4 linked regions of the Alligator mississippiensis genome follow. The protein of the gene in region 2 purifies or fractionates together with the protein of the main gene of each other region. This does not show direct contact. Links are inferred from orthologs where the notes say so. Each region holds a gene or a part of one and is shown on either strand. Other genes may lie near its edges.

What was found.
Region 1: the proteins of RPA2 (region 2) and CDK7 purify together in Homo sapiens (affinity purification with mass spectrometry; 3 studies listed by BioGRID and IntAct, with this or other methods). This does not show direct contact. The link is inferred for Alligator mississippiensis from reciprocal best matches to the Homo sapiens genes RPA2 and CDK7.
Region 3: the proteins of RPA2 (region 2) and HLTF purify together in Homo sapiens (affinity purification with mass spectrometry, with the first as the bait; 3 studies listed by BioGRID). This does not show direct contact. The link is inferred for Alligator mississippiensis from reciprocal best matches to the Homo sapiens genes RPA2 and HLTF.
Region 4: the proteins of RPA2 (region 2) and ZUP1 purify together in Homo sapiens (affinity purification with western blotting; 3 studies listed by BioGRID, with this or other methods). This does not show direct contact. The link is inferred for Alligator mississippiensis from reciprocal best matches to the Homo sapiens genes RPA2 and ZUP1.

What each region holds. Positions count from the first base shown.
Region 1 is NC_081826.1:258,225,238-258,232,273, forward strand, and holds the start of CDK7 (cyclin-dependent kinase 7), read right to left. Parts: upstream 3,006-7,036; 5' UTR 2,931-3,005; coding exon 2,871-2,930; intron 2,761-2,870; coding exon 2,701-2,760; intron 2,077-2,700; coding exon 2,043-2,076; intron 1-2,042. Other genes in the region: MRPS36 (alpha-ketoglutarate dehydrogenase component 4), read right to left, coding at 5,161-5,178. UniProt on the Homo sapiens protein: Serine/threonine kinase involved in cell cycle control and in RNA polymerase II-mediated RNA transcription. Cyclin-dependent kinases (CDKs) are activated by the binding to a cyclin and mediate the progression through the cell cycle.
Region 2 is NC_081829.1:16,844,662-16,851,682, forward strand, and holds the start of RPA2 (replication protein A 32 kDa subunit), read right to left. Parts: upstream 3,014-7,021; 5' UTR 2,925-3,013; coding exon 2,909-2,924; intron 2,807-2,908; coding exon 2,709-2,806; intron 2,117-2,708; coding exon 2,015-2,116; intron 1,928-2,014; coding exon 1,814-1,927; intron 1-1,813. UniProt on the Homo sapiens protein: As part of the heterotrimeric replication protein A complex (RPA/RP-A), binds and stabilizes single-stranded DNA intermediates that form during DNA replication or upon DNA stress.
Region 3 is NC_081830.1:61,038,433-61,046,003, reverse strand, and holds the start of HLTF (helicase-like transcription factor), read left to right. Parts: upstream 1-4,558; 5' UTR 4,559-4,656; coding exon 4,657-4,667; intron 4,668-7,124; coding exon 7,125-7,323; intron 7,324-7,571. UniProt on the Homo sapiens protein: Has both helicase and E3 ubiquitin ligase activities. Possesses intrinsic ATP-dependent nucleosome-remodeling activity; This activity may be required for transcriptional activation or repression of specific target promoters.
Region 4 is NC_081824.1:101,709,669-101,717,637, reverse strand, and holds the start of ZUP1 (zinc finger-containing ubiquitin peptidase 1), read left to right. Parts: upstream 1-4,963; 5' UTR 4,964-5,035; coding exon 5,036-5,360; intron 5,361-7,969. Other genes in the region: KPNA5 (importin subunit alpha-6), read right to left, coding at 1,868-1,967, 2,054-2,155, 2,876-3,009, 4,718-4,721. UniProt on the Homo sapiens protein: Deubiquitinase with endodeubiquitinase activity that specifically interacts with and cleaves 'Lys-63'-linked long polyubiquitin chains. Shows only weak activity against 'Lys-11' and 'Lys-48'-linked chains.

The sequences.
Region 1 (7,036 bases), on a different chromosome or scaffold from region 2:
ATATGCCAACAAATGCTTAAGATTAATTCCCCATTCCTCAAATTACCTGATAAAGCAAGAAAACAGATTCAGTTTACAAAATGGTAGTTCAGCATATCACTTCAATTCAAATTGGTTGTTGTGACAGATGTGCACTTAACAGCTAATTCTGTACAACTACAATTCGGTTCTGTTCCTGCAGGACTATTGTCTCCAGTAAAGCCAATATGAGCCAGGTGACCTATTTACAGGGACATTCATTCAGTAGAAACTGACCAGGCCAGTGCTCTGCATGGGCTCATTCAGGATGGCAGACACAAGGGATTCATATTCAAATTCAATGGGAAGGAATACATTAGCAATCATGGGAAGGATCAAGTCTCCTCACAGGAAATGCAGTCCTGGTTCAGGCCACTTCTGCATCATGGACCTCTCCAGGTGAGATGTGTGCCTCCAGAACACGTTTGGCCCTTATTCTGTTCCATCAGAGGCATGAGTACCAATACTGGTCTCAGATCTCACTACTGAATTCTTGAGAGATGTCTGGCATTCTCTCTCATCAGTCTTGGAGCTATGTTCAAGCTTGACTTCACATCCTGTTTATAAGTAGACATATGAGCTGGCTTTACTGGCTGAGATCAATGGCAGTCAGCATAGAAACCAAATGCTGGATCTGCCAGCATGAAGTCTGTGTTGGGAATAACAGAGATTTCATTGCTAGTGGGGTAACTGGTGTCAACATTGGTGGCTGTGATAAAACCTTGAAGGAGTACTACAAAACACTGCTTTATCTGGCCTCGCTGTATCCAATACTATTACTGAGTCTGAAGTGACCCATATAGACTGCTGAAGAAGATCACACTTAAGCTGAGTATTCCTGGGCTTCCAGATCCTTTCAGAGAACAGACAGCAGTTACCCAGAATGCAATCCATACATAGACACAAGAGACACCAGATTAGTCCATCCTTGAAAGCAATCAGCCTGGGGAAGGGCAGGCTGGGTTTACATTTCCCTCTGAATGTGCGGCGGTTGGCACAAAGTACCTTGGTCTGCTGTAAAAGGGGTATTGCAGGATAGTGCTCAGCATCCCCTTAAGAAACATCCTTCAAAGAAATCTTACCTTTCCAATTTCATTCAAGTCCATTCATGGGCTCTGAAGACATGTTGGATACCTACTGAATTCTACCTCGTGTTCAAGACAGCAAAAGGAAGCTAAAAAAAGACTGCCTCTGCCTCACCCTTTTAGATCCTTATGTCGGAAGATGAGAAATGCAAAATGTACATTTAACCTGGTTGGACATTGCTATTCCAAAGAATTAGAAGTTGTGTGCATCTGATATGCACACATACAGAGGAATCCAAATTGGCATGTACTCACAGCAACCTAATTCTACAGTTATATTCTTTTTACTGACTACTCTTGAAATTCATGAATGACACTACATTTGGGGTCATTGGTAGTGTTTAGTAGAAAGGGAGAAAATTTAAAAGGACTCCAAGTTGTTTTAGAGATTTAAAATGTCATTAACACCAATAGTATCATTTCAAAACATTTGACAGAATTAAGGGCAAAAAACTAGGATCATCATCTTGGGACAACACAAGACACTAAACTGTGCTGTAAATTAGTTTTGTTACTTCCAATTAACACTATACACCAAAACTGAAAGAAATTCAATACATTTTTCACAATTTACTTTATGCTAGTGCTGTTTTCATATTGGGTACAAAAACAAGGAAAAAGATGCATCAATCAGACCTTCGTTTCATGCCCATCATAACAATATCTGGACACTTCAGAGTATGTACGCGAAGATTTCAGCGTTTCTTCTCCCACTGCTTCCATAGGAAACATGCACGTTTTGGTGGCGATTTTATTGTAGGACCCCTCAGTCAATGAGGTGAGATTAAATTTGACAATAAAGCTGTTAACAACAACTTTTCCATTTTAAGATCTGTGAAGTTAACCCATTGCTCCGTGGCAACAAGCGTTTTTCATAGTCTTCAATGCAAAGAAAAAAAAGGGCAAGCGATGCTGTAGGACCATACTTGAAGTACTTACCATCTTTAGCTTCTGATCTATGTCCAAGCTTAATCTAAAGAGAGATAGTAAATGCTGTGTTATCTACAAGAAGAACCACACACCTCAACTGTTTGTCTGAGCAAAGATGTTTCTCAAGGAAAAAGTGAGTTTCAGTGCTGTAAAAACCTCAACCGGTAATGTTTTTACAACCGCATGTGCAGCTTTTGGTATGTCTGGAAGCAACAGACATTGCACAGAAACAAAACTGATGATTATATTATTCTTTGCAACCAGGTTTATGCTCCCCCATGTGACCCACACGCTGTTGCACCTGCAACAAACACAGTTCCCCCGTGCCCGATTAAGTACCAGGCCCATCACAAGGGCTGCACCCTGAGCTGCAAGTCACCCCAGACCGACACAATCCCCTCAGCTGACTGGAAAGACCCGCGGCAGCATGTTGCTGTCCTGGGACAGTGGCCCCACGAGCCCCGCCGACTTCTGACGGATCCTACAGGGCAAGCAGGCGGCTCCCCCGTGGAGCCTGCTGCAGCCTGCCCCAGCTCCAGCCCCGAGGGGACACGCGGCGCAGGCCGCGGCCGGGCTGGGAGGGGCCCGGGAAGCAGCTGCACCGCGCTGCGGGCTACAGCCCCGCGGCCAGCCCGGGAGGGGGACGGCAGGGTACAACAGGACCCACCTTCTTGATGGCCACGATCCGGCCGCTGCTCTTGTCCCGCGCCTTGTACACGGTAGCGAACTAGGGCAGAAACACACAGCACGGTCGGTCACTCGGATCCCGCGGGGACAGACGACCGCCCCCGCCCCCACCCCCGGCCCGGCCCGGCCCGGCCCGGCCCACGTGCCCACCTGCCCCTCCCCGAGAAAGTCGAGTTTCTCATAGCGCTTGGCGCGCGCCCGCGCATCCATCGCCTCGGAGCGGGGCCGCGCGCGGAGGGGGATTTAAACCGTCGCAGCCGGCGCGGCGCGTCACTTCCGCTCGCAAACGGAAGTCCCACCCCCCTCCGAGGCGGCGACGGAAGTAGCGTGGCCCCTGGCCTTCCAGCAGGTTGCCTTTAGCAACCGTTGCTAGGCTGCCCCTGGCGCGAGGGAGGCCTAGCCGTGCCCGCGAAGGGACCTCGGAAGATCCTGGAGCCCAGCCCCCTGGTCTGGGCAGGAACGGAGCTGAGATCAAAGCACCCAGCAAGGTGCCTGTCCAGTCTCCCCTTGAAGACTTCCAGGGCTGGGGCCGGGACTGCACCCCCCCAGGCCCCCCGGATGTCTGCGCCAAGTTCGGGTCGCCCTTGCGGTGAAGAAGTTCCTCTGCTCACTCTTCAGGGTGCTCCGACCCCTGCTCTGAATCGGCCAAAGAAAGAGAAGCCCCTGAGCAGAGCCCACACTTGGGAATGGAGCTGCTTCCTCAGGTGGCCTTGAGCAAATCACTCCACCACCGTCTCTCAATTTCCTCTCTTATGCACTGGGATTATGTGTCCTGTGGCAGGGCACCCAATTCACCAGCGTGTTTAAAAATTGTTGAGACACTGCAGGAAATGCTCCTCGAGAAAGGTAAAGATTTACTAAAGCTGCATTGAAGGCCAGGCTGGAAATAATGCCAATCAAGTAATGTGCTGCAGGATAATGTTGAAGTTATTCTCCTCATCAGTCTGAGAAAATAGGGATTTATGAAAAATACAGTTTCCCGTAACACTGGGTCTTCAAGCAACCTATGAGGTTGAAGGGGGCAGTATTGTTTTAAGTATTAAGGCTGACTCACTTGCAAAAATGTGTACTTCCAAAGAGGATCCCAATCCCTACACATGGAAATAGATGGCAGTAAGACATATTTTTAAAATGCACTGCTTTGTCTGCCATCTATATTCAAGGACTCAGTGTTCATTGTTTTTAACGTGGATCAGTCTGACAAAGCAGCGGGTGCTGTGTCAGATAATCTAGAACTAACAGGACTGGACCTATTGACTATCCCCCAATGCAATCTTCAGAGCACAGACGGGAAGGTGCATGTGGGGGTGGAACTTCTGATTGCCACACAGTTTTAGCAGCCTCGGAAGAAGAAACTGAACCTAGTTTTTAGTTGGGTTAACGTTGTTAAGTGAGACCTGCTTTCTGAACAAGCAAATATCAGTGTGGAAGAGGTGCCATCTCCTGTTCCTACCCTAGTTATTTTAAATTGGCCAGAGAGGCCTTAACAGCTATAGCAGTCATTATTATTTAATCTCCCTTTTAACTAGGTAATGGTAAGCTTATTGAGCAAACAAGGAGAAAACCAGACCACTTGTCATCTTCAGTGGATTTGTCAAATATATTTTGACAACTCTTATAGCTGTCGGGCAGCGACTGCTGTTGTTCCCCTCCATCACCGTGGTAAGTTAGGTTTGTGTGACAAGATTGTGTAGTTTTAGTACTAAGTTAGACAAGGATTTGTATAGGACGTTTGGATGCAGGCAGGGGGGTGGACCAGAGGTCTCTTCCTGCCCTACTTTTCTATGGTTCTTCTTGAAACCAACACCATTAGCATCATGATGTCCTTGACCTCTACATTTTAGGGAAGTAAGAATCCAGTCTCAACGATAATTTTCTCCAAAAAGAATGGGCAGAAAAAGTTTAGAATTGGTTCTAAACATCATTAATTAACAAATGTTACTCCAACAATAAGCTGACAATCTCCTAATTCTGTTTCCACCTCATGGAGCAGCTACCAAAACAGCTGAGCGCAAGACTGAAAGCTCATTTTCCATTGCCATTACTCAGAAGTAAGAACATTAAGATTTGAACATTATTCATAGAAAATGCAGCCCTGCTCAATTTCCTTAGCAGGAAAAATTCTGAAGCTGGATTGCTGTCCGTGGAACAGCTACTAAAAAAAAAGCAACTATTGCTGAGCAGAAAAGTAGAATGGCTCATCAGAAAAAGTGCATTGGAATTGTGTAGGTATATAAAGTGTAGTCACACAGTCTTTAACACAAACTGGCCCAAACACAAATTAGCAGATAGAGTCTGAAGCATCAATCTTGTCACCCTTCATAAGGGGTCTTTATTAAAGCTATTAACATATAACTGTTTATAACAAATTGCAGAAGGAAAAGCCTTTACTGTGAATATAATTCATTCTTCAATGGAGGTGAAGAGACATCGTCTATGCTTACTCTGGACCTCCACGCTGTAAAAGAAAAAGTGGACAATTACAAACTTTATAGTAAAGGAAAGAAGCAGACACATACACAGCTGAGTTGTATTACTGGGTGGGGAGATATTTTCTTTAATTCAGACTTATTATAGAAGAAATAAAAGGTAAGATCATAGCTAAAGACAGAAAATGTCTACATCTTGACTTTTATAAAAGCTATAGTTTTCATATTAAAAGGTTTCTCCATAATTTGATGAAGAGCAAAAATGAATCCACTGTAGTACTATCCTGGTGAATAAGAATTTGAAAAAAGACAGTTATTTTACTTGTCCAAATTCAGAAGTATAAAATAGTAAAGTCAAACTATTTAATACTCTGTTCTACTGATGTTGGCTCTATTACAACTTACTATGTCTCCCTGTTAGAAATTTAAGTAGAGACATATCAGGAAGCCTCCTACTTAAAATTAGTTCCATCACTCTTAGCTCTATGTAAGAAATGTAATAACTTCTTCATTGGTATTTTTACTTTGCAAATGCCTGTCTTAACAAGCCTAAAGAAATGCAATTCTTTTATGGTGCAGACTGCAGTAAGAACTGAAACATTTTTAATGCCTTTAAAAGGTCCAGCTATACAAATGCACATGCCTTCTTCAATATTCCAAATGTGACTATGAATTGGGTACTATTTTGAAGCACTTCACTGCTGTTTAGGAAATGTGACAGGGGACCTCTGGGTCCTCCAGCATCTCTCAGCGCTCCATTTTTTGCCTCCATGCACAAACATAAAGGAGTGGGAGGAAGAGCAGGTAACTACAGCTATGTAGATCATAGCCCTCACCCCTACTGCCACCACTGGAGCCACACTTGGAAGCAGGCAAGATCTCACATTCCCTTGGCCGCTGTTGCCTCCTCTCTCCCAGTACTGGGAGCGGCAGTACCCAGTGTTCGGGTTCAGTGTGCTTGAGGTGTTCCTGGAGCCCCATCTACTCCCAGCACTGAAACCATAAAACTGCCAGTGTCCACTCCTGTGACTTTTGCATAGCAACCAAGCTGGCCAGGAGGTTGCTACCTGGTTAAAACTGAGCAAGCAACTACAAATTTTATCTGTGCATAAACACTGACAGTATAGGGAGGATGTGCAGAAATAGTGTGATAAGAAAGGTAAGTATGGATGTGTTTAAGCACATAAAGGTTTAGGAACATATCCAATAGTGAGACATAGGTTATATAGTCTGTAAATAGCTAATAGCAGTGCTAATAGCAGAAGTTGAAATAATAAATATGTAAGTAACATAAGATATAAAGAAAAATTGGGAACGAAAGGTCTTTGGATTACTGGACTACACCCTTAAACATCTCATTGAGACCCTGGACTGTCTGAGCAACAGGATAGGAAGCAAGACTTGCCTGCATGGTAACTAGTACATGTCTTAATATTAAAGTGTGTGCTAGCTCCTGAATAAACTTATGTTATTGGAGTGGAAATACTTGTGTAAAGCATTCTATACACAAAACAAGGGTTCTCTGATCCAAGATTTTGGGGTAACAACACTCTAGACACTCCCACACTTACTGGAGCCAGATTGGGGGGAGGGTCTGGCATCCCAGTTCTGACAGGCAAGGGGTACTCAGAGAGAACAGCCTCCCTGATCAGAGCAGTAATTTGGAAGTGCTCTGACTGGGGAGTCCTACAGAGATCACATGCAGTGTCCAGGATACTTTTTGAAACGTTTTGAAGTCTGTAACACTTGGAAACCTTTCAATTGTTACTTCTGTCTCCCTCTAGCTTTTAGTATTTTTGTTGTCTGGTAAGCTTCTGATCTGTGAATCTGGTAACACTGCTCAAAACTAAACAAAACAGCATGTACATTGGTAGTTCCTAGCCAAGT
Region 2 (7,021 bases):
CTGTTTTTTGTTTGTTCACTGGGTAGAACTATAACCCTAACTCATGTACACAATTCATACCACAGAAGAGGAACAAATTTTATTATAGCATCTTACTACAAATACAATGATATAACCACAAGCGTGGTCAGCTGTCTTGGAGCAAGTACAGGACACCTTTTGAAGTTAGCAAATTTTAAGTACAGGCAAATGAAGGTCTCAAAGTGTGTCTATATTGGTGAATTATGATGCCAAGCAGTGGGCCTATTTCCTCTGTGGTTTGTGGTGCCAAAAACCACGCACACAGTGAAGGTTAAAATGTGCCCTGAGCTGTAAATCTGCAGCAGAGGGACAAAAGTTTGCTACCAGGATTTCCCAGTAGCAAAAAAATAAATAAATAAATAAATAAAAAAGCAGCACCGGAAAAAAAGGGGTGTGACACGCGTTATAGCAGCATGCACTGGAACAAACAGAAGCTTGGCCCTTCAGGGAGATGCTTTGGCTGCTGGCTAGAGCATCTCCACTATTTTATTTGTGCCCCAGCTGGTCCAGCACACCAGGAGTCAGGAAGAGTTAGGAAAGAGCAGTTTGCCTGAAGCGGGACAATTTGTCCCTCACAAAGCACAGGTGTAAGGGTGTGCACCGTGGCACAGAGTAGCAGCACAATTTTGTGCCACTACTATTTGTGATGCTGCAAGTGCATGCCCTTGCTCATCTGGACATGACCCAAAGTTCAAAGCAGCATAACTGCCATAGCACAGTGTTGTGTCTCCATCAATAAGCTCTGCCTCCGAGATACTTATTAGCATATGCTCAGTGCCATGCTAAAGGTGGACAAATCCTGGTGGCATGCACAGAGCAAGCACGGCATCTCAATACAGTGCTACAACGGAATGGTACACACACTCAAATATACTCAGCTTGGTTAGACTGTTAGCTTTCAATTACACATCCCTAAAATATTAGGGAAAGGCGATGTGCATTACTATAGCAGTGTGGGAGAATCCAAGGAAACTAATGACGCATCTTATTTTGCACACCTCCCCTCCCCGCGCTGCAATCTATCCATTCTACCCATGAACTACTAAATTTAAGAAAATGGAGTAACACCACCAGGGACAGAAACAGGGACCAGAACCTATGGCACTTACCCCTCCATGGCAGTGCCCATCTCACTAAGCCAATGAGCAAAGCACCCTCTAACTAAGGCTAGAAATAGATGTTGCCAAATGAAGCAGATTGCCTGTGCTGGGATGTGTCCACAAGTGGCACAAAACATCTCTTCCATAGCTAGATTTGGATGTATAAGCAACAATTAGTTATCTTTGGGCAAAACAGGATTTGACTCAGCGACCTCTTCAATTCAGTTATGAAATAACTTTGAAAATATTGAAAGGACAACATTTTTAATGAGACGTATGGAATGCTGCAGAACTGAAGAGGAAGTGAAGAATAGAAGAGCAGCCCCCATAAATGCAGGGATTCCAGTTAGAGTGATGCTTGTCTAGGTATATGCATGTCATATTATGAATGTACCAAAAGAGGCATATTATCTATTAAGGACTCTACTAGGGTATTGACATGCCACAGTTCCTATGGCATTTAGAAAAAGGGAACTAAATGCTGAATACGAAAGCAGACTATCTGACAGGGTAGGCAAAGAATTCTCCAATGCTCATTTAATAAGAGGCCCAATTAAAAAAGTCCCTGTACTCAGCTGAATTAGTATTACATTACAAGGTAAATACTACTTCTTTGGACCCGAAAAGACGGATAAAAATTAAATACTTAAATGCCCCCTTATCTTAAATCCTAAGCTCAACCTGGTGCTTACATCAGTATCAACCCACTGTCTGACATCCATAGGGGCTGCAGTCATATCATCCACTTTGTAGAGAATGTTTGTCGGTGCTTTCTCTGCCTGTCTGATGAGCCCCATGATAAGGACCTAGAAGAGATGCAGACAAAAAAGTTACTTTGTGATGTAGGTTCCTGTCGATTCTGAAGCTTTTCCCATTCCAGATCCGATTCCTACCTGTGAAATCTCTACATCTCGGACCTGGAACGTTTCATCCACCTGCTGAGCAGAAAACAACTGAGACACTGTACACGGCACGATGTTCTGGGACCGGGACTTCTGCAAGAGGGAATGGAGAGTCTCAGAGAAACAAAACCATTAAAAAAAAAAAGAGTCTGGAAGGGTTCTCAAGGGTCATTTGGTCCAACCCCCTCCTCAAAGCTGTCAAACCCTACCAACGCCGTCCCAGACAAGCGCTGTGTCCGACCTGCGCTCGAGAGCTGCCAGGAACAGGGCTCGCACCTCTCTAGATTTCCTGGTGCTTGATGACCGCTCGCAAGATCTTCCTCACGCTTCGAATCACATTTTGATCTTTGCATGCAGAGAAACAGCCACCCAGACCAGCCCACGCACCGACCTCTCCTGTCATGCAACATGTACTTGGCACGGGCGCTACAGGCACCGCTACCACATGAGCAAAACCCCGGTCGTCTTCCGACAAAAATCCGCGTAAGGCAAGAACGCTTTTCCAGTGAGTTTACGCTCCGCACGGCTCCCAGTTAGGTCTGAAACCTGCTAGTAGCAACGGCAGCATTAAGGAGCATTCAAATGCTCAGCCTTCTGCCTGCAGCACAGGCCAAGGCCGCAGGCAGCTGCCAGACATGCCCGGGGAGCGGGGGGCCCATGCCCGGGCACGCGCGGGGGCACGTACCGGTCTCTTGTCCTGGGTGGCGGCCGGGGAGCCGAAGCCGCCCGGGGACTGCACGTATCCTCCGCCCGCCGACAGCCCGCCGCCGCTCTCGGACCCTGCTGGAAGGAGCGCAGCACCGCGTTACCCCGGACCCGGACCCGGACCCGCACCCGCACCAGTCCCGCCCCCCTGGCCCCGCACCCCGGCCCAGCTGCGCTCACCGTGGCTCGTCCACATGGCGGACAACAGCGCAGCGCCGCGCGGCCCGCAGCTCCCGCCGGCGCGCCGCACGCAGCCACCCAATCAGCGAGCGCGCCGCTCCCGCTCCGCCAACGTGCCGGCCAATCAGCTCCCACGGCGCTGACCTCCCAGCTATGTCCGGGTTCAAACCGGAAGTGTGACATCACAGGGGTAGAACGGTGACTTCCGCGTGGGGGCGGGGCCGCTCCGAACCCTGCTCACCTGTGGCGCTGGGGGCGGGGCGGGGCGGGGCGGGGCTGGTGCTGCGTGGGGCCGCGCCGCTGCATGCTTGGATCGGTCTTCTCGGGTCCTGGGCCGTCCTCTAGTCTTTGCAGCGGTAGAGGTTGTGAGCAACGAAGTAGGGGGGCTGCGCAGTTGGGGTTTTATCAGAAAGTCGAATTGACTAATAAAGATGTAAAATGTAATGCATCAAGTACAAACCCTCGAATAAAGGGCTGGGATTATGGGGCAAAATACTTCGAATCAACTCGAGCCACAGGGCTCTGCAGCTAGGGGACACGTCTCAATAACTGACCAGGGCAGTGCCCGACCCACGGCTCAGGGTTTGCGAGCCAGCCTGCCTGCTGGTGGCCACTGAAGAGCTGTGCTAATACGGTGTTTTCAGCTATCTTCCATGTTGGGCTATTGGATGGAATGTTACGCATTGATAAGGATGATTTATTTTGCAATTAATACCAGATCTGCCTGAATCCAAGATGGTTTTGAATGTAGGATGCTTTAACCCCGAGTAAGCCAATTCCATATGTGGAAATTTAGAACATATCATCATTCTATAACTGGCTGTCATTTCCCATGTATAGAATCTGATTACTGGAGGGTTGTTTTAAATCTGTCCTCAGCTATGGAGGGGGAGAGGCACGGAGCCTGCCCCTGCACCTTGCTCCCCTGCCACTTGACCCCCGTGCCCGCACCCCTGCCACCTGTCCCCTGATCCACAACTCACCACTGGGCCCTAGTCACCTGACCCCCGCCAATTCCCAACCCACCCTGCCGCCTGATCCCCGTCACATGCTGTTCTCCACCTCTGCCGCTGCCCAGGCCCCAAGATCTGCTGCCTCCTAATCCCAAAGCGCACTACTGCCCAGTACCCTACCCACTTCCCCATGTGTACGGCTGCTCCTACCCATGACACCTGCTGCTTCCCAACGCCCCCATGCGTTCTGTTGCCCAGTTCCCAACACATGCTGCTTCTGGCCGATCATATGCACATGCTGATGCCCGATCCACCCACACAGCTGCCCCATTCCTCAGCTGATCTTCATGTGCGCTGCTCATGAAAGCTGCTGCCCCATCCCCTGCCTGATCCCTGACCTGTACTATTGCCCAGTCCTTGACATAGCTGGAGACAGAGTGCTGGTACTCAGATCCAAGATGAGGCATGTTTTTCCCCATGTTGAATGAGGGGAAAAAACTTGTCTTGGATTCAAGTAAATACAGAAAGAAATTACATTTGGAAAAATTGGTGTGGGTTTATATACAAATCATATATTTCCATGAGAAAAAAAGGAAGGAAAGAAAATTTATAATATTTGCTTCACTGTCAGAAAGCAATTTACATAACTGTGCTTTATTTTACTTAACTAATATACAGGCACAAAGTAGGAAAAAAGATCTGCGAAACTAATAACCTCACCCGTTCATGGTGAAAAGACATGACAGGTGCTTACCTCAAAATCTTCATAATGGCCTATAGCTCTGTCTTAGAAGACTGTTGCATGTTTAATATGAAAAACCGAAGAAGAAAAACCAAAGTGTAATTTTTAATATGGTTTAAACCAGAACCAAGAAGTCAAATAATGTTGCAAGTAATTCAAGTAGGTTCCATGTTCATAGTGATATGTATTAAAAAATTCATAGTTGCATATACACGTATCTCTGATTATATTCGTCACATTTGACTAAGGTTATGTTCCATACTGACAACTTTGTCTATCCCTTATCAGCGTACCCCTCATTAATATGCAGAGAGGATGCCCGTCAAACCAGCAGCCTGGAGGAGTAACAGAAACCCCAGCAGAGTGGCAGAGACCCCTGGCAGTGATGGAGCTCCCTGGCGGAGTGATGGAGAACCCTGGAGGTGGCATCCACAGCAGTGCTGCCTAGCATTGCACCCTAACACCTCTCTCCAGCATCAGAGCGCAAGTAACTCCTGTGCGGGCCTCCCTATCTAGCCCTTGATACTTTGGCTGGCATATGTAGTAGAGCCTCAGGAGAAGCATGGCAGGGCCTTTGGTGGGGATCTCCCTACCCAGCACTTACTACTAAGCTGGTGCAGGTGGTAGAGTCCCTGGATGGCAGCCCCGGGTGAGACTGTCTTCCCCAGGGACGGCTAGGTGGTAGCTCCCCAGGTTGGGTTGTCAAGACTATGACTGATCAATACTGAACTACAGTTAAAGGTTAATCGTTAAGGTATTGCTCCCCTTTTCCCTTGTAATAAATCTGTTTTAATTTAAATTTGCTTACGAGTGGGCAGGTTTGTTTACATTATAACACCAAGTTCAAAGTTATTTAACCAAGTTTCTGGGTGGGGGCTCAAGGTAAATTTGAAAAGTTGGTGTAAAACCCCTATATTTGTATGCAGCTATTCTTAATTCCATCTAGTGCCTGGCAAAACAGCAACATATGGGCCTTACCCCCCCTCCCCCCACACACAATGGCAAAGACATGTGGTTTTGGGTGACCCAAAAAAGGATTTCCATACATAATCCCAGGCCTGGGGGCCTGCTATTAAGGAGCCAAGCTTCAGGTTGGGCAGGGTCCTGCCCAGCATCTTTGAGAGAGTCCCCTGATGTTGGAGAGGTGTGTTTTGGGGTGACCCAAAAAGGATTTTCACTCATAATCCTAGCCCAAACCCAGCTCCTTCTTGAAGCCTGAGGGGCTGTCAGTAGTCAGCCCAGCACGCAGATACCAATCTTTAGGTTGGGCAGTGTGCAACTCAGACTTATTAGAAGTGTACCGTGATTGACGAGACATGTGATTTGGGGTAACCCAGAAAGGATTTTGGCCCATAATCCCAGTGTAATCTCAGTTCTTTTTTCAAGGCTATGTCCTTGATACATGATATTATTTTACATTTTAATTAGTAAATATTTATTTTTGATTAAATCCTAGCTCTTCAGTTTGTATAATTCATTAGTAACAACTTTTAATTGTGTAAGGATTAGTTTTGTAAAAGGAACTGGGAAGAAGGAACTGGTAATAAAGAAACAACTTCAGACTCATTGGGTCGGACTGGGCTGGGCTGCAAGAACAGGTCAGTCCACAGGAGTTATCAAAATGGAAGAGTTATTAAAATTCACTTGAGAGATCCAAGGAAGAGGGCCATGCCCTTTGCTACAGAGGAAGGCAAACCCCACTTAGGTCGTACCAATTTGACCATGGGGTAAAAGTCCTCCCTGTTTTCAAATGTGGTGAGATCCTGAGAAGAATGGCAAGACCCCTCTAGCCAGGAACCTCCAAGTTTTAGTCCCAGAAGGAACACTGGTGGGCTATTAAAATCCCCAGCCCTGGCTGCAGCCAACACCAATGCTTCTGCAGAAGACATAAAAAGAAAAAAAAATCTCATACGACTAGCACAGGTGGGAAAAAATTCCTTTCTGGCCCACTGTGGCAACCAGTAAAGACTAGAAGCATGGTAAAATCCTATTACCATCCATCCTAATACCATCCATTCTGCTCCATAACCTTCTCCAGTTGCTGAGCATTGTCCTCTTCAATTTCCAACTGCTCTGGGATGCACAGCTTTTCTCATGATCCCTGACATCTTGTGTGGAAGGGCTCCTGGGTTTCCAACTGTTGTTATTTACAGAACACATATAGCTATACCTAGATCATCCCAGAGCAATGCTTATCCAACCCCTTCTTGAAAACCTCCAGTGATGGAGATTCCACAGCTTCCCCAGACAGTGCCTTATTGTTCTCACAGTGACGAAGTTTCCCATGATATCCAATCTAAATCTACTTTGCTGCAACCTCAAGCCATTAATCCACATCCTGCTCTCTGCAACAAGAGAGAAGAGGTGCTCTTCCTTTTCTTTATGGCAGCCCTTCAGACATTTTAAGATTGACATCAT
Region 3 (7,571 bases), on a different chromosome or scaffold from region 2:
CACAGTCTTCCAGTTTTCCCACGAGGATATCATGGGATACTAGATCAAAAGCCTTTTGGAAGTCTAGGTATATACCTTCTACCTTGTTTCCCATGTCCAGGTGGTGAGAGACCTGGTCATAGAAGGAGATGAGATTGGATTCATTGGATTCAAAGGCAAAAGTTACAGATGATGAAGCCATTGATAAAGAAAAGCTGCAAAACAGTGCCATCTTGTGTCAATTCTGTGTGAAACATTGAGCAGATTCTCTCAGATGGGAAATGAATTATTATTTTTTATTTATTGCAATGTTCTTATTTACTAAAATTTAAAAGTTAATAATAGGAAGGATTATGTTTGATTCACTTAACATGCTGATTTGGCTGCTTCTTTTAATCTCTACAAAACTCCACAATTTTTTTTTTATTGGCTTAAAGAATAAGGATGTTTTTCCTTTTCCACTATGAATTTAATTTTTTCAAATGAATCTGAATAAAAGCCTCAAAATATAGGCTGTAGTTTTCAGCCTGAGTAGGGACTTTGGCCAGGTACAAACATCACACTTTTACCATTATAAGGGCACTTTTACACATGGGGCGGGCATTGCTTTAATTACAGCAGCTTTAGTTAAAGCACCCCTGCCGCTGTTTTGAAGCACGGGGATGCTGATATATGAGATATGGGAGGCTGCTGGAGCACGGTAATTACCACACTGCAGCAGACTTAATTAATCGATTACAGTGTGTTGGAACGGCCTCTGCACTCCTGTACAGGTACCCAAAGTGACTGGAAATCAAACTATATTCATAACAGAGCAGAAGTTCAGCATGCATAGACTGGTGTAAAAATGATGGAACCAAGTCTAAAATTCTCCTCCCCCCTACCTCCCCCAAGAAAGGGTGCATCCTGTTCGTTACTGATTTAAACTATGCCATTTACAGAAAACTGCATAACTTTGATTGATTCCACTTTGGGCTCTTTGAATGTCTATACCTAGCCCTTGTATACACCGCAGCTTCAGCTGCTCCCATGCCTTTTTTCTCCAAAAAAGTGACAATAAAACTTCATTAAAAAACAAATGTGTGGGGAAATTACTTCTGATACTAAGGGTGAACCTAAACTGTTTGGCATCTGCTACATATTTTTGTATTCCCCTCTGTGTTTTTTATAGCTGTGCTGTTCATTCTGGATGAGAGAGCAGCTGCAATCCTGCCCTTATATTATTGATATATGGCAGTGATTATGATGATGTCTTGAGGCCTCAGTCAATTTTTTCCAAACTATACACATATATTAGAAATTCCCTGCCTTAGAAAGTTTACAGTTCGAAAGACAACAACGGGCTACAACGAACACAGGAAGGAAAGCATGGGGTAACAGTAAGATCATAAGCATTAGAGAAGGAGGGGGAAGGTAATTCTGTTTTACAGAAGATTTTGATATTTGGAGTTCTGATTTTCTCAGACTCAAAATGACAGCAAAATTTTTCACAGTCCTCTGCAAAATGGAATGGAGCAGCAGCTTTTGGAAGTCACATGGGTTTCTGACTCCAAAACAGACTGACTGATAGGCTGCCCTGAGCCTGTGAAGCTCTTGGGAAGTTCTGTGGCTCGGTCTATCTTGAGGACTACCTCGATATAGGAGGTGCTAAGAGGTTGAGAGTCATTTCCAGATTCTTGTTCCATGTCAAATTACCAGGTAAGGAATGTGAGCAGGCCATTTTTTGATGAAAGGCCGGCTGAAATTTGTTAACAAATGAACCATCTGTGTGGAATGCTTTGATTTCAATGAATTGATAAATCCCTATGGGAAATTGCTTTGTTAGAATTTTCATGACTAGTTCACAAGTAGCCTCCTGGTATCCCATCTGCTTGTAACTTTTTGTGCAGAAAAGCTGGGAAAAATGCCTTTTAGAATTTTTTTCTGTATGTGGGACCTAAAATGTGCTATGAACGAAGTGAAAATGCACTATGGTGTTCTCTACTTGTATACCCATTGGATAAGTGCATAATTTGCTTAACTATAATGAAGAATTGAAGTTATGTTAGATATTAAATGGTCAACAAACTTTTATGTATTAATTTCACTGTTTAGAATGCTTGCCAATTGTTAATCCGCACGTAAACCACTGGAAGATTTTATGGGTAAACAGTTGAAAAACAATTTTCTCTTTTGACACTGATTTTTATCTCTAGCTAGAAAGCAAAATAATTTTTGTTAGCTAGCAGGAAAGTTTATCATTGAAGACAATGTTATAAATCCTTTTCTAAGAGACCAATTATTATTTCACTGGATAGCATTCTTTTCCTTAAAACTTCATGAAAACATCCTTTGAGTTAGTTACTTGGTTCTTGAAATTAATTACATGCGTCTTTGAATGGTGGAGGTTTTTATAACATGGAAAGCAAAAAAAGCTTTAAAAAAAATCTATCCTGTTCTTTTTATGCATTAATTGTGTGTGGAGGAACAAAATATTGTTTTATTTTCCTTATCATGATTACAGTGATATCTGTTAGATTTGAATTACAGCTTAGTCAGTTACAGCTGTGGCAGAAGTTGTGGTCAGCATCAGATCAATTTCACTTATTGTGCAGCCCATAAAGAAACCATTTTTTCGAAGATTGCAATCCTGCAAGGAGAGAACTTTCAATTCTTTTTGAGAAGCAAGCTAGGGAGTGACCAGGGGTTCTATCCCTGGGCACCAGCTTGCGGGGGAGGGCACAAAAATAGCAGCCCCTGCCCTCCTACCTGCTGTGCCACCTGCCACAGCTTCCCCATGCACCACCATCCGAGGGCCAAGAACTGCCCAGTTACATTTCTGCCTTTTGATGATGCTGTTGGGGGTTCAGTGTAGTAAACACCTCCACGAAGTAAATCGCCATCACACAATATCCCCAGTATATAGAAAGAGTATGTGTTTAGCCCTCACTACACATTCAAGTAATGGTGCCATGAGATCTAACACAAGATCTACACAGTTGTGCCTCCTGCCATACCATGCATGCATGGCAGGAGACATGATTGTGGGATCACACATTAGATCTTGTTATTGCATGTGTTGGGGGAGCCTGATCCTGCACAGGTAAGAGGCAAGCTCCTGCAGCTGGGAGCCTCCTCACTTGAGGAGCTTCCACCTGTGGGGGCACCCTACACACCCTTGGGCCTGGGAGATCATTGCTGCTGTGATCCCCAAGGCTCAGGCATTGGCAATGAATAGGGGGTGCATGCAGGTGCACGTGTGCCCCCTGAGATTGGCAGTGCACGTCCTGAGAAAAGCACTGCTGACACTGCTGGCGGCGCCTGCTGGCGGCACCTGTGGGCGGTCACTGCTCAGCACCACCCTGCCACCCCTGCTGTTGACACCACAGCAGCCACCTGCAGGAGCTCCCTGCTTGCCGCTGCTGCCACTGCCTGCTGGCAGTCGCCGTGCCCTGCTCAGCCTCCAGAGGCATGCATCGTTCATGGGCTCAAGGATCCATAAAACCCCAGGCCTGGGGGACTGTGGCTGTTGGAGCTTTTATGGTGGGCATAATCAGCTGACAGGGCTCCAAGCTGCAGGGGACACCCTGCTACTTGTAAATTAAAGCTGGATAGCAACCAGCTGTAAAGTTAGTACACATTTTCAAGGTCTAACTTTATAGCTGTTTGGAGCTTTGTAGCAAGTACTTTGCACGTGCCCTGGAGGCTGGGGGGGGCATGGCGACTGCCCACAGGCAGCGGTGGTGGCGGCGGAGGCATGGTGAGTGCTGACCATTGGTCAGTGATCACATGCAGACGCTGCTGGTGATGGTGGTGGTGGGGGGTTAGTGAGTAGTGACCACCTGCAGGTGCCATGGCAGTGGCGGCGCTTCTTTCAGGGGGTGCACTGCCAATCTCAAGGGGTGGATGCACACCCGCATGCACCCTCTATGTCGCCAACGCTCAGAGTTGTGAAAAACTTAAAAAAAATGCGTTCACGTGACCTCAAACATCCTGTTTCTATGTTCATGCGACACAGGCGTGGCTCACAATGGCTGTGTGGCACGCCCAGCTGTGGGTAGCACCGAGCTGGCACTGCACATGAGAGTGCATTATATGACGCAGCCGGTCATGTATGTGTTAGGTATAACATCAGGGCTATAGGTTGTATCTGTGTTGTCTAAGGACGTAGACAAGGTTCTTTGGGTAAATCTGACGTAATTTATTCGACCAACTAAAATAGTTGGAAAAAATGATTTGCAAGCTCTTGGGGGAAAGCTTGCAAAGAATTTTTCCAACTTTTTCAGTTGGTCGAATAAATTATATCGTATTGACCCAAAGAACCGTGTCTGCCTCAGGCACGACACGCCATGTGGCCGCAAGGGCCGCGCCCGCCGCCAGCAGCAGCGCTACGACGACCCAGTGAAGAGCGATCCCTTCTTCACTCCATCCCGCAGGGCGAGGGGGGCGGGGCTAGTCTGAGGCCTCCGCGGGCGCCGGACCGGGTCCTTATAGGCCCTTTGAGAGCGCGCGGGCAAATGAGAGGAAGTCCCGCCCCCTCCCCATTGTCCTGTTCTCATTGGTCGAAATCCCTGGAGGCGCGGGCGGGGGTTGGTGTCGGCTGCTGTCACTCCGGTCAGTAGGGCCAAGCAGCCGGTGCGGGGCAGCGGGAGATTGCGGGTTGTGAGCGCTGGTGCCTTTCTCCGCCTCGGGGCCTGGATGTTCGCCAAGTGAGGCCCACGGCCGGCCGGGGGGCGGGCGGGACGGAGCCGCGGGTCTTTCGCGGGGGCGGGGCGAGCCTGGCGGGGCGGGGCTCCGGGTGCCTTGGCCCTGCCCTAGGGGGGGCCGGGCGCACTGAACTCTTCCGCCCTACGGGTTGATCCAGGGTGCGGGGTCGTGCGGGCTGGGCCTATGCTTCGGCCCCTGCACATGGCGAGCGGGGCCCGCGCCAGCCCTGGGAGCTGCGTCTCGCCTGGGCCCCATTGCGACCAGTTGTGCGGCGACGCAGCGCGCGGGCCTCGAGCCCCAGGCGCTGGGTGACGTGGCTCCGCGGCCGTACCTTTGATACCCGAAGGCAGGTGTCAGCGATCCCTGCACGGCACAAACCAGAGCCGGTGCAGACCAAGCCCCAGTAAAGCTGTAGCGCAGTGACAGGGACTGAGAGGCCCGCACGGAAATGGGCGCGCTGGGAGGCAGCTGCAGGACGGCCTGGCAAGTTCTTGCAGTGCAGGAGTGGCGCTGAAGGTGTGATGATGGTCCAGATAACATGGGAGGGGCCATGGGTTTCATGGGTGATGGTGTTTTATTGGGCCCAGTATGCAGTTGGTCCAGTAAAAGATAGCACCTACAAAAATCCTTGCCTCTTGCAGAGTCTCTTTGGCTGGTTAGCGGTTCCCACAAACAGCAAGAGACCTTTATTTCCACACCTGTCATACACGAGCACTTTAAAGCATAATCTTAGGATTCAAAAGATTCTGCTGGGCCAGGCTTCATTTGAAAGACTTGTAAGTAAGGTTGGAAACATGGTTCATGTTTCTTCATGCTTTCCAGCCTTGATGAAGGTGGGAGAATAAGAGGGCACTGACATTCAGGAGCAGTGTTCTGTGATAGCCAGTGCTCCTTTCTTTCCAGCCTCCTTTAGGAAATGAAGTGCAGGTGGTCTTGTGTCAATGTACAGTAATTATCTTTTTTAGGGGGGTCTCGTTTGCATATTAGAAAAGCATGTAAAAAATTAGGCTTGCCCCCCTCCTTTCAGAATATTGGGTGGGAAGACTTATTTTTGGAATGGCTCCACTCTTTTCTGTCCTCCTCCCCCTAGTTGCAGCAGGGAGAAGAATAGAGTAATTTTGTTTTCTTACAACTTTTCTGTGGTTGCTGTAAGAAAAGACATTATTTTCCCTGCTGTGGAAGAAGTTAGAGTTTTCTCCCTTTCCTTTCTGCCTCTGTCTGGAGACTTTCTTCCTTTATTCTTCTGGTGTTTCTATAAAGCAGACATAGAAAGAAAATGAAATCTTATCACCAGTTTCCTTCCATGTAATACATTCTAAAATGCAGATGTGGTACTGATGCCGTGGTCTTGTAGTCAGCTGAAAACTGCATCCTCTCAAGGAGCAGTGCCCAATTTTTTCATCCCATGGGCTGGATGGGCATGGGGTGGGGATGAGGGGGGACCTGATCCCATGTGCCAGATTTCTGGGTCTGCCAGGGGCTGCATAGGGCAGGCCCAGCCAGAGCCTCAAATGGGCTGTGTGGCAATGGCCTTGGCCTGAACCGGATGCGCAGGGCTAAGAAACCTGGCGGGGGGTGCCACTGCTCTCTTGCCAACAAATTTCATCAAGTTGCACATAACCCTGTGGGCTGGATGCCAGGGCTCCTTAGGCTGAATTTGGCCCACAGGCTGGGGATTGAGCACCCCTGCTTACAATCATCAGGAAAAATTACAGGTAATTTAGTCCTCTGATGTTCTTGAGGTGAGATGTAACTTACCTCAGCAGCAGTTTGAAACAGGTCAGGATCCTGTTATGTTGTCAAATCTCTTTTACTGTGTATTGTGTGAAACTGATGTAAAACTAATTTTATGTCTGACTTTCCTTTAAAGTAAGTATAAACTATGTGAAAATAGTGAGGTAAAACAATGTGAAACTGATTTTGTAAGTATAATTTTACTGTAAAAGGGTAGAACTAGAGATGCTTATAAAAGAAAAAATGGTAGTAATTAAAATATTCACACTTGTTTTAAAACAACGTTGCTCAGCCTCTTGGCCCCCCAGAGGCCAGACCAGTGGTGTGAGGCCAGTCCATTGGCCAGATTGGGCCCTGGGGCCAAGAGCTGCACCCTCTCTGTCCCATGTGCTGTGATTGGGTCCCTTGTACCTGGCATTATCCCTTGCATGCTGGGATTAGGACCCAAGTGTGTGGCACCGCTCTTTCTGCCTCGTGTGTCAGTACTGGGCCCAAGGACCTGGCACTGCGCCCTTCCAGCTCTGCCTGGGCTTCCCATGGGTTCAGAAATCTGGCAGCAGGCAGCCGGTTCCACTGCTTCTCCACTGTCAAATTTCCAGACCTTTAGGGATCCCCAAAGGCTAGATGACATGGGGCTTGCAGACTGGTTCTGTCCCATGGGCCAGGGGGTTGAGCCCCACTGTTTTAAAACATTATCAGGTAACTTTCATTGTGTCCTCTTGCAGAAACTATGGTTCATCTACAGGCTATGGAGGAAATAGGACTTATTCCTGTTCTTCTTCTGGTGATGTTGATTCTGCTCTTGGGTTTGAAGACTTTCTGTATACAGATGACACTTCAGGGACAGATGAGGATTTAGATTTGTTTGTCCTGTTTGGAAATCTGCGAGGAAATGTAGTTGGATTACGCTACTACACAGGAGTTGTAAGTACAGCGTGAATAGTACAATTGTATCATACTAAGTAGAGCCAGTTAAGAAAATGGAAGAAAAGCTATGGTAAACTGTGACAAAGGTTATGTTTTATGGTATAAAAGCTTTCCAGAATTGTCTTACTGTTCCTAATATTAACAGAAGTGGGGTTTCTTTCATTCATTTACTGTTATTCATGTATTTAAGTTTTGTCACAAATATGTTTGTGGCTACTCTTGTTCCTGATCCTGTTATGAATGTT
Region 4 (7,969 bases), on a different chromosome or scaffold from region 2:
TGTCTGAGTCCCCAAGGCCTGAAATAGACTCCCTCCAAAGATGGGGCAAGCACCTACTCCGGACTCCTTTAAGAAGCATTTGGACGCTTATCTTGCTGAGATCCTTTGACCCTAGCTGACTTCCTACCCTCGGGGAAGGCGGCTGGACTCGATGATCTTCTGAAGTCCGATTCCAGCCCTAATTATGAAATCTATGAAATCCAGAATTATTGGATGAAATGCACAAGACTTGACTAACTGTACTCCTGGCTACTGTGCTGTCTGTAAACTCAGATGGTAGTGCCAATACCATACCACCACCTCCTTCTGGAATGTTTCCAAATGCTATCGCTGTCTAAAACGTTATCTAAAAGTTGTGCCTATGGGGCACTTGTTTGAATTTTAGTTTATTACTGATATAGACAATACTTTAAATTACTCTTTAAAAGATATTAAGAGAACTTTCTCTACATAGCTTCACTGCTCCATCTGAAATCAGTAAGTTGTATAAGGGGTTTTCACATAAACAGCAGATAAGGAATAATTCATTGGTACAGACTGGGGATGTCTGCCTTGCTTTGTAGTGGGCGGGGAAGTGGGCCATGGCCCACATCATTGGATCTCTCAAGCATAGTTTAACAACATTTGCAGCATCAGAATGTCAATTGCTGTGGTCACCCTGCTTTATCAGTGGCAAGTTAGGGTGTTATGTCTTGTGGTTGTGTCAGAGTTGACTCTGTAGCTGTATGGGATGGTTTGGATAGAGATGATTCTGGCTTAGGCAGGGACTAGATAAGCTCTGGATGGTCCTTCCAGACCTACTTCTCTATAATTCTATGAGATGCATCAGTCACAATCCTCAACAAAAGCTGCAAGTGCATTTTAATATTAGCAGCCGAATCAAATTTTTCACAAAAGTAAACACTACCTTGCTTGAGAGTTAAGTATAGGTAACCCTTGCATAATGCAGCTTCACTTACCGCAGTTTTGCTATAGTGCTCATTTAAAATACCTACCTGGTTTCACTTAGTGCTCAGCATGTTTCGCTATAATGCTGAGTGCAGGGGTGGGGAGAAGTGGTGGCAGTGTCATTGAGTGAAGTGGTGAGTGCCAGCAGGGGCACAGGGCAGGACAGCAGAAGCACAGGGTCCACTCTGGCATGTGATATTGGAGCGGGCAGGGAGGAGCAGCGGTGGTGTAAAGGGACGGGCAGGGGGCATGAGCGCGGGGCCTGGATCAGTCCCCAAGGCCACGGCTGGCCAGGCCCAGGACAGGACGGCAGGAGCTCAGGGTTCACTCTGGCATGTGGTGCTGGAGCGGACGATGGGTGGAGAGGAGCAGCAGCAGCAGTGAGAAAGGGCGGGCGGGGGGGTGTGCTGGCAGGGGTTACAGGAGCACAGGACCCACACAGGATCCCAGGGCCAAGGCTTGGGGGCCGGCTGGAGCACAGGGCCCAGGCTGGCAAGGTGGTGCTGGAGCTGCCAGTGGGCAGGCGGCAAGAAGCGGCAGAACCAATTATATTTATTTACATTAATTTCTCTAGGAAAATGGGTTTCGCTTAGTGTGTTTCCACTTAACACTCAGTTTGTTCAGCACCAATTAAGAGTGCTAAGCAGGGGTTGCCTGTACTGCAATGATTGCTAAGTGTGCAGCTATTTGTTCTGATACTCTAATCAAAATGTCCTTGATTTTCTTCCTTTGTCTAAAAGACTTAACTTTAGAATAATAAAGGTTTGCATGTTAACTGTTATGTTCAAACGAATTTGGCATTCATGTGATATGAGAGTTAGAAGCATTAGTTAGTTCTGTTTTTGAAGAGTGTAATAAATTCAAGATATAATGTTTATGAACAAATTTGAAGAAAGAAAGCAACACAACACTGATTTACCTTTTGAAAGCAGTTTTCTAAATTTTTGGGTTGCTGTAAGCTGCTGATCAGGATCATCTGAGAAAATCATCTGCACCATATCTGCTGTAATAACTTCTTCCTTTAAAAAAAAAATTCAAAAAATGACATCTTTGCAGTTTTCAGTACTTCGAAAGCACACTTCAAATGGAATTCTGAAACACTCACCTCTGGAATAGGTACAGTAGAACTGACATCAGGATCTTGGATAGGGCTTTCTACCATAGATTCTTCATTTCCCGGGAGAGAAACATTTCTGCGTTTAAATAACTAAATGAAGAAGAACTAGATAAAGTTTCACGTTATTACGTTTTCCAAATGCCCTCCCCTCCCACCCAAATTTAAGGTAAACATTCAAAGTATGCAGTGCCACAAGCAGCTACAGATGTTTTGGTAAATTTGAAAAAAAGTAAATTTCAACAAGTAATCAACAAGTCACCTTTCCTATCACTGAAGCAAATGGGGATCTTACAAAAAAAAAATTATGAATTTTGAAGGAGATGCACAAAACATCCCCATAATGTACATAATGGGACAAACAGCAATGGCTTCACTCATGCTATACTTTAGCTTGTATGATTCTTTTTTAAATCAGAACACTTGACACATTTTTAAATGCAAGAAAAAACCCTAAATCCTCTTCTTTAAAGTCTTGCTATTTTAGTCAATATTATTTAAAACATATTTTAAAACGGAATGTAAATCACTCTCTCAATGAATTAGTGGACTAAGACTCAACCCTGTGTTCAGCGTTTCCTATTCAATACGTTAGGCCTCTCTGCTCTCCTGTCTCCTCTGGATCATACTGAGGGGTGGTTTAATGTCTCCATGAATTGCATATAGAGCATGGCCACCCCCATTTCCCCTTAATCCAGGGCCAGACAACAAAAAGCATCTCAACGCCCTTTGTGGATGCCAATCTACATTCACAAATATTCAGTTATTTAGTTAACAGACCATGTTTACTATGTTTCAGAGTAAGAGACCTACTTGCTCTTCCCTTTTTTGTTTCCGAAGCTGGATTCCTTCTTCTTCTCTTCGTCTACGCATTTCTTGAGGATTGAGTGCATTGTTCTTGTAACTTTTCATCCGATAATTATCTTTTCCTGGGCTTGCCATGGTGTCTATAACAAAGAACAATGCTTTTACGTAAAAGTCTGTATGTTATGAGATACAAGCAGCTGCACAATCTCTAGGGCAAGAAACTGTCATCCTCTGACAGTGGATGGCACCTACTCCATTCTGAAAGACAGGCTGCCTAAACAGATACATTTCCTAAACCCTGGGTTAGGAAACAATGTACTCAACGTAAAACAAACAATTAAGGAGCACTCAACCAGCTCCATGTGACAGCACCTTCCTTGTGGACAAAGTAGGCTGGAAAAAGCAAGTTACCTTGACATGGGCAACGTCTACGTGAAGTTTTCACAGTGAAACCTGCCAAACTGATTATCACCTACCACACCCCCAAGTATGGTAGCTTGCCTCTCTTCTCTGACAGGATGTCATGTTGATGGCACCTTGGAAACAAGGGCAAGACCAAGGTGAACTGGGAATGATAGCATTTGGTGCCCTCCCTTCAGCTCTCACCATGCCCAGCTCCTTTTATGGTGCTGGTACCTTCAGCCTGAAGCAGTGTTGCCAGGTGTTCGATAATTATTGTATTTAAACAATAATTTCACCTGTTGTGCGATGTACGATCAACAACAGTAAAAGTGTTTAAAATCTACAATATTTTTTGAGGTAGCTCATTGATGCAGAATATGCAAAACCCAAGTCACTCTAAGGGAATCTTAACCAACTTCTGGGTTTGCAGTCAGCACTTTCTTATGATGGCTTGCCTCGAAATAAAGAAATGCTTCAACTTTGATGACCCAGTTCTCACTCACTCATTGCTGACTTAGAGTAAGCAATATGAAGTAAATAAGAAAATTTATTTGTGTACTTATTTACGTTTTAAAGTATTTTTTCAGTGTGCAATAGTTTTTCAGCAAATACAATAATTTTGAGCTTCCAAGCTGATAATTTCACATTAAGACCTGACAATGCTGGCCTGAAGGGTCTGTAACCAGAGCAGACCAGGAAAGCTTATGGTCTCTGGGCCGCTGCTGCCAGATGGGGTAAGATTCAGCCAAATCTTTGCAAACCTTGCTACGACTGCAGCCACCATGCACCTTCCCAGGCAGCTGGACCCTCCTTTCGGATTGCGAACACACAGCTTGCCCTCCCAAAGGGAGGAACTGAGCGCCGGGGGCAGCCCCTTCCCTACAGCTGACTCCCTCCACAGCCAACCCAGGCCAGTGTTACCAGGTGCACGACAATCATCATGTTAGTAGGATAATTTCAAATCTGGTATGACCAATGATAGTAAAAACGTGCAAAGCGTACAATCATTTGTGAGGCAGCTCATTAACCCAAGTCACTCTCAGAGAGTCAATTAATTGAGTGTTGGGCTTGCTGTCAGCACTTTCTTAGGACTGCTGGCCTCCAAATAAAGGCATGCTTCCACTTGGATGACCCAGTCCTCTCTCATTCGCTGACAACTTACAGACAGCAATAGAAAGTAAAGAAAAAGACCACTTATTCGGATGCTTATATGTATATTTCTCAGCGTACGCTCGTTTTTCAGAAAAAAGGACTACTTGAACTTCCCAACCGATTATTTCATATTGAAGACCTGGCAAGGCTGCCCTTCAGGGCCGGCTCCCCCTCCCCCCGGACAGCCCAGGCCGCCCCGCAGAGGCGCGGGCAGGCGGCGGTCGGCCCTAGCCCGCAGGGCCGCGCTCCGCGCCCCTTGCCGAGCCCCACCAGCGCCCGCCCCGCTGCTCTCACCCATGGAGGCGGTGCCGGAGGGAGAGGCCCCAAAGGCCGCCGCCCGCGACGTCTCGCAATCCAAGATGGCAACCCCGCCCGCCTTGCGAGCCCCGCCTTTCCTCCCAACAGGCCCCGCGCGCCGCGAGTGACGCAGCAGCGGCCAGAGCCGACAGCCCAACACAAAACCACAATTCCCGTCATGCACCGCGCGCAGTACTGTGGAAGCAGGCGCTTTGACCGCGCGCGCATGCGCCCTGCTGCCACAAAAGCGGAAGCAGGAAGGAATTCAGTGTCTGGGCGTTACTCGAGCCTTGCAACCGGTTGCGCGCCTCAGGGATGCAGGTGTGCGACGTGTGCGGGCAGGAGTTGTTGTCGGAGTCGGAGGTGCGGAGCCACCTGGCGCGGGTGCACCTGGGGCCCGGCCCGCCCTGCCCGTTCTGCGGCTTCCGCGGCGGCGGCTACGACCAGCTGCGCCGCCACATCGACGCCGCGCACCCCGAGCCGGGGCCGCAAAGCTCCCGCCCGCTGGGGGCTGCGACGGCGGCGCCCGGGCCCAGCCCGCTCGCGTGCCCCCTCTGCGGGGAGGCGGCGGCGTCGGCCCCGGGGCTGGAGGCGCACGTGCAAGCCCGGCACGGCCGCCTGCTGCTCGCCACCGCTCCAGGTGAGGCCCAGCCCGGGGGTGACGCCCGGACCCAGCCCCGCTCCCCGCTGCGGTCTCCAGAGCAGGAGCTGCCCTGCAGTGAAGTGGGGGGCTCATGCCACAGAGTGGTTTGGGACATCACGGGAGGAGCTAGGAGGCCTCTCACGTGGGTCTGTGTATCTTACTAGGGCTCTGATTAGCATAGTAATCATGGAAAGTTATGGGTGGCAGGAACCTCAGGAAGTCATCTAGTCCAACCCCTGCTGAAAGCAGGACCAGCCCCAACTAGATCACCCCAGACACAGCTTTGTCTAGCTGGGTCTTAAAAACCTCCAAGGATGGAGATTCACCCCCTCCCTGGGATAGGGAGAGCCAGAGGCAGGGCAGGCACTGCGAGAAGTGGTTTTCAATAGAGTGTTGTGTGATGCCCCTCAGGTGCACGGAGGTGGCAGCCAAGTGAAGCTGCCCCGTGTGCAGGGCTGTGGCATGCACGCTCCCGCTGTCTGCTGGATAAAGCCAGGTGCGAGCAGAGCTGTAGTTCTGGAAAGGGGGTGCAGGCGGTGAGGTGCAGTCTCATATAAAGTGACATGTAAGCAGAAGAGAGAATCCCTAGCTCCTGTGGAGTAAAGAGTTTAGCAGGGATTTGGTAGATTAGGAGCCATGAAGTCAATTGAGTTAGGTCTTGCTATGAGCTGGAGATTACACTAGATGACCTCCTGTGGTCCCTTCCAGCCCTCATTTTCTATGACTCCCTCTGCACGAGCTGACTAGAAATGCTGTTGCCACTGCCAGGGTGTTGGTTTTAAATTCTGGGTGGAGCAGGAATCAAAGAGGGGTGCAAGTTTATCTGTGCACTCTCCCCTGGATCTGCCCCCAAAGCCAGGCCGAAGGTGCGGAAGGGGGAACTTTCATCACTACTATGTACTACATCCTTTTGTAGCTTCTGAGGAAGTCACGTGTTAGCAAGGAAAGCTCATGCCTCTCAGAACCAGCCAGCCTCTAATGCAGCACTTATGCAACTTTAAAGAGTCAAGGAACCTCTCCATAACTCTTTTAATTTGCATTTTCTCCACTCCCCTCCTAGAAACAGGGACAGTTGCACTGGTGCATCATTGATGTCAGGAGGAGCAAGGGTAGGGGGCAGACCAGGAAAAGCTGCGCCCCAAGCTAGCTTTAGGGTTACTAGAGAGCAGGAGGAGTGTGCACATTCTGGGCTGGCTGTACAGCAGGCGTGTGGGGCATTTTGACTTGGAAGCAACTGCACTCAGTTTAGAAGCACTGAGGGAAGGCGAGGCAGCAGCAAGAGTGGCTTTCATCCAGGGGTGCCACCACACTCAAAAAAGTGTTGTAACTACTACCTTACTTGCTGACTGGTTCAGAGATGCTATGAACATGGAGTACGGAAGGTACCCTCCTGCCCTTCCTTCTGACAGCTTCAGATTAACAAGCTAACTGCCTCTGCATTGGTGAATAGGAATTGTGTGTCAGGTAGAACTAGGTTCTCTCATTGTGTCACCCTTGACTGATTTCAAAGTGCAGTTATATGTATCCTTTTAACATGTGAAACACTGAAAATATGAAGGTATATAGAGTAATATAGCTCCATAAATAATACTAGGCATGTCTCTACTGGCCCCATTAATTTAATAACATACTTGTTAAACCTGGAAGAAACTCCTGCAGGATTTCTAGAGTGCTGCACAGCTTTGCTGCGGAATCTAAGACTCATTTTCCAAGGGAAGCCACAGGCTTGGCTTACTGACTCTTAAGAGCTCTTGCTTGCATTTAGTGTCATTTGTCGTCATATTCCTGTACCAATGTCCCTCAGTTCTTACATGTCTGAAGATGTACTCAGAGTGAAACTGAACAATTGATAAAAGAAAGCACATTCTTGTCCCTGCGCTAAAACTGTTGTTTGTTTTAAAAACTCAGTGGGATGCCAAAAAGTTATAGAAAAACTTTTTTCAATGTTGGTGCTTTCTCCCTTATTAAAGCTTGAGCAGAATCCTACTCTGGCCTTCTGGTTCTTCAGAGATATTTGGTAAATACAAGATAGACAAGCTTTTATTATTAGAAATGTATTTCTAATACCAAAAAAATATATATTTGGAGTTATGATAAGGAATCTCCTGGCATGCTTAACAGAGGATGATGAGTAAAGAACAAACTCATTTTTTCTTTGTTGTTTCCATGACATCTGTATTATATCTTCGAACATGAAGGCCAGAAACTCGTTTATGAAAAATGAGTTGTTCCTTTCCTGGATCGTTGAAATATCTGGGACTGAAGAGTAGATATTTTAAGTCTATTTAAGTCTGTTTTATAATTTAAGGTGTCTGGTAACAATTGCAATCTTCTATAGTTAAGTTAAACATCATATTATGCTTGATGGGAAAAATAAGATCCCTCCGCTGACTTGTTCTTAAGAGTTTACTTTTATTAATGTACAGGTAGTATGTGCCTTAAGGCACATATTCAACACACTCTGTTGAATTCATGTTACTAGCAAATTCTATTTTTTATTTTAAATAAATGCAAAATGAATTAAGTAGTAACTTTTTTTGTCATAGAAAGCACGTGATTTGCTGCTTTTCTTGTTTGGATTTTATGAAACAAATAATTAGTCCACC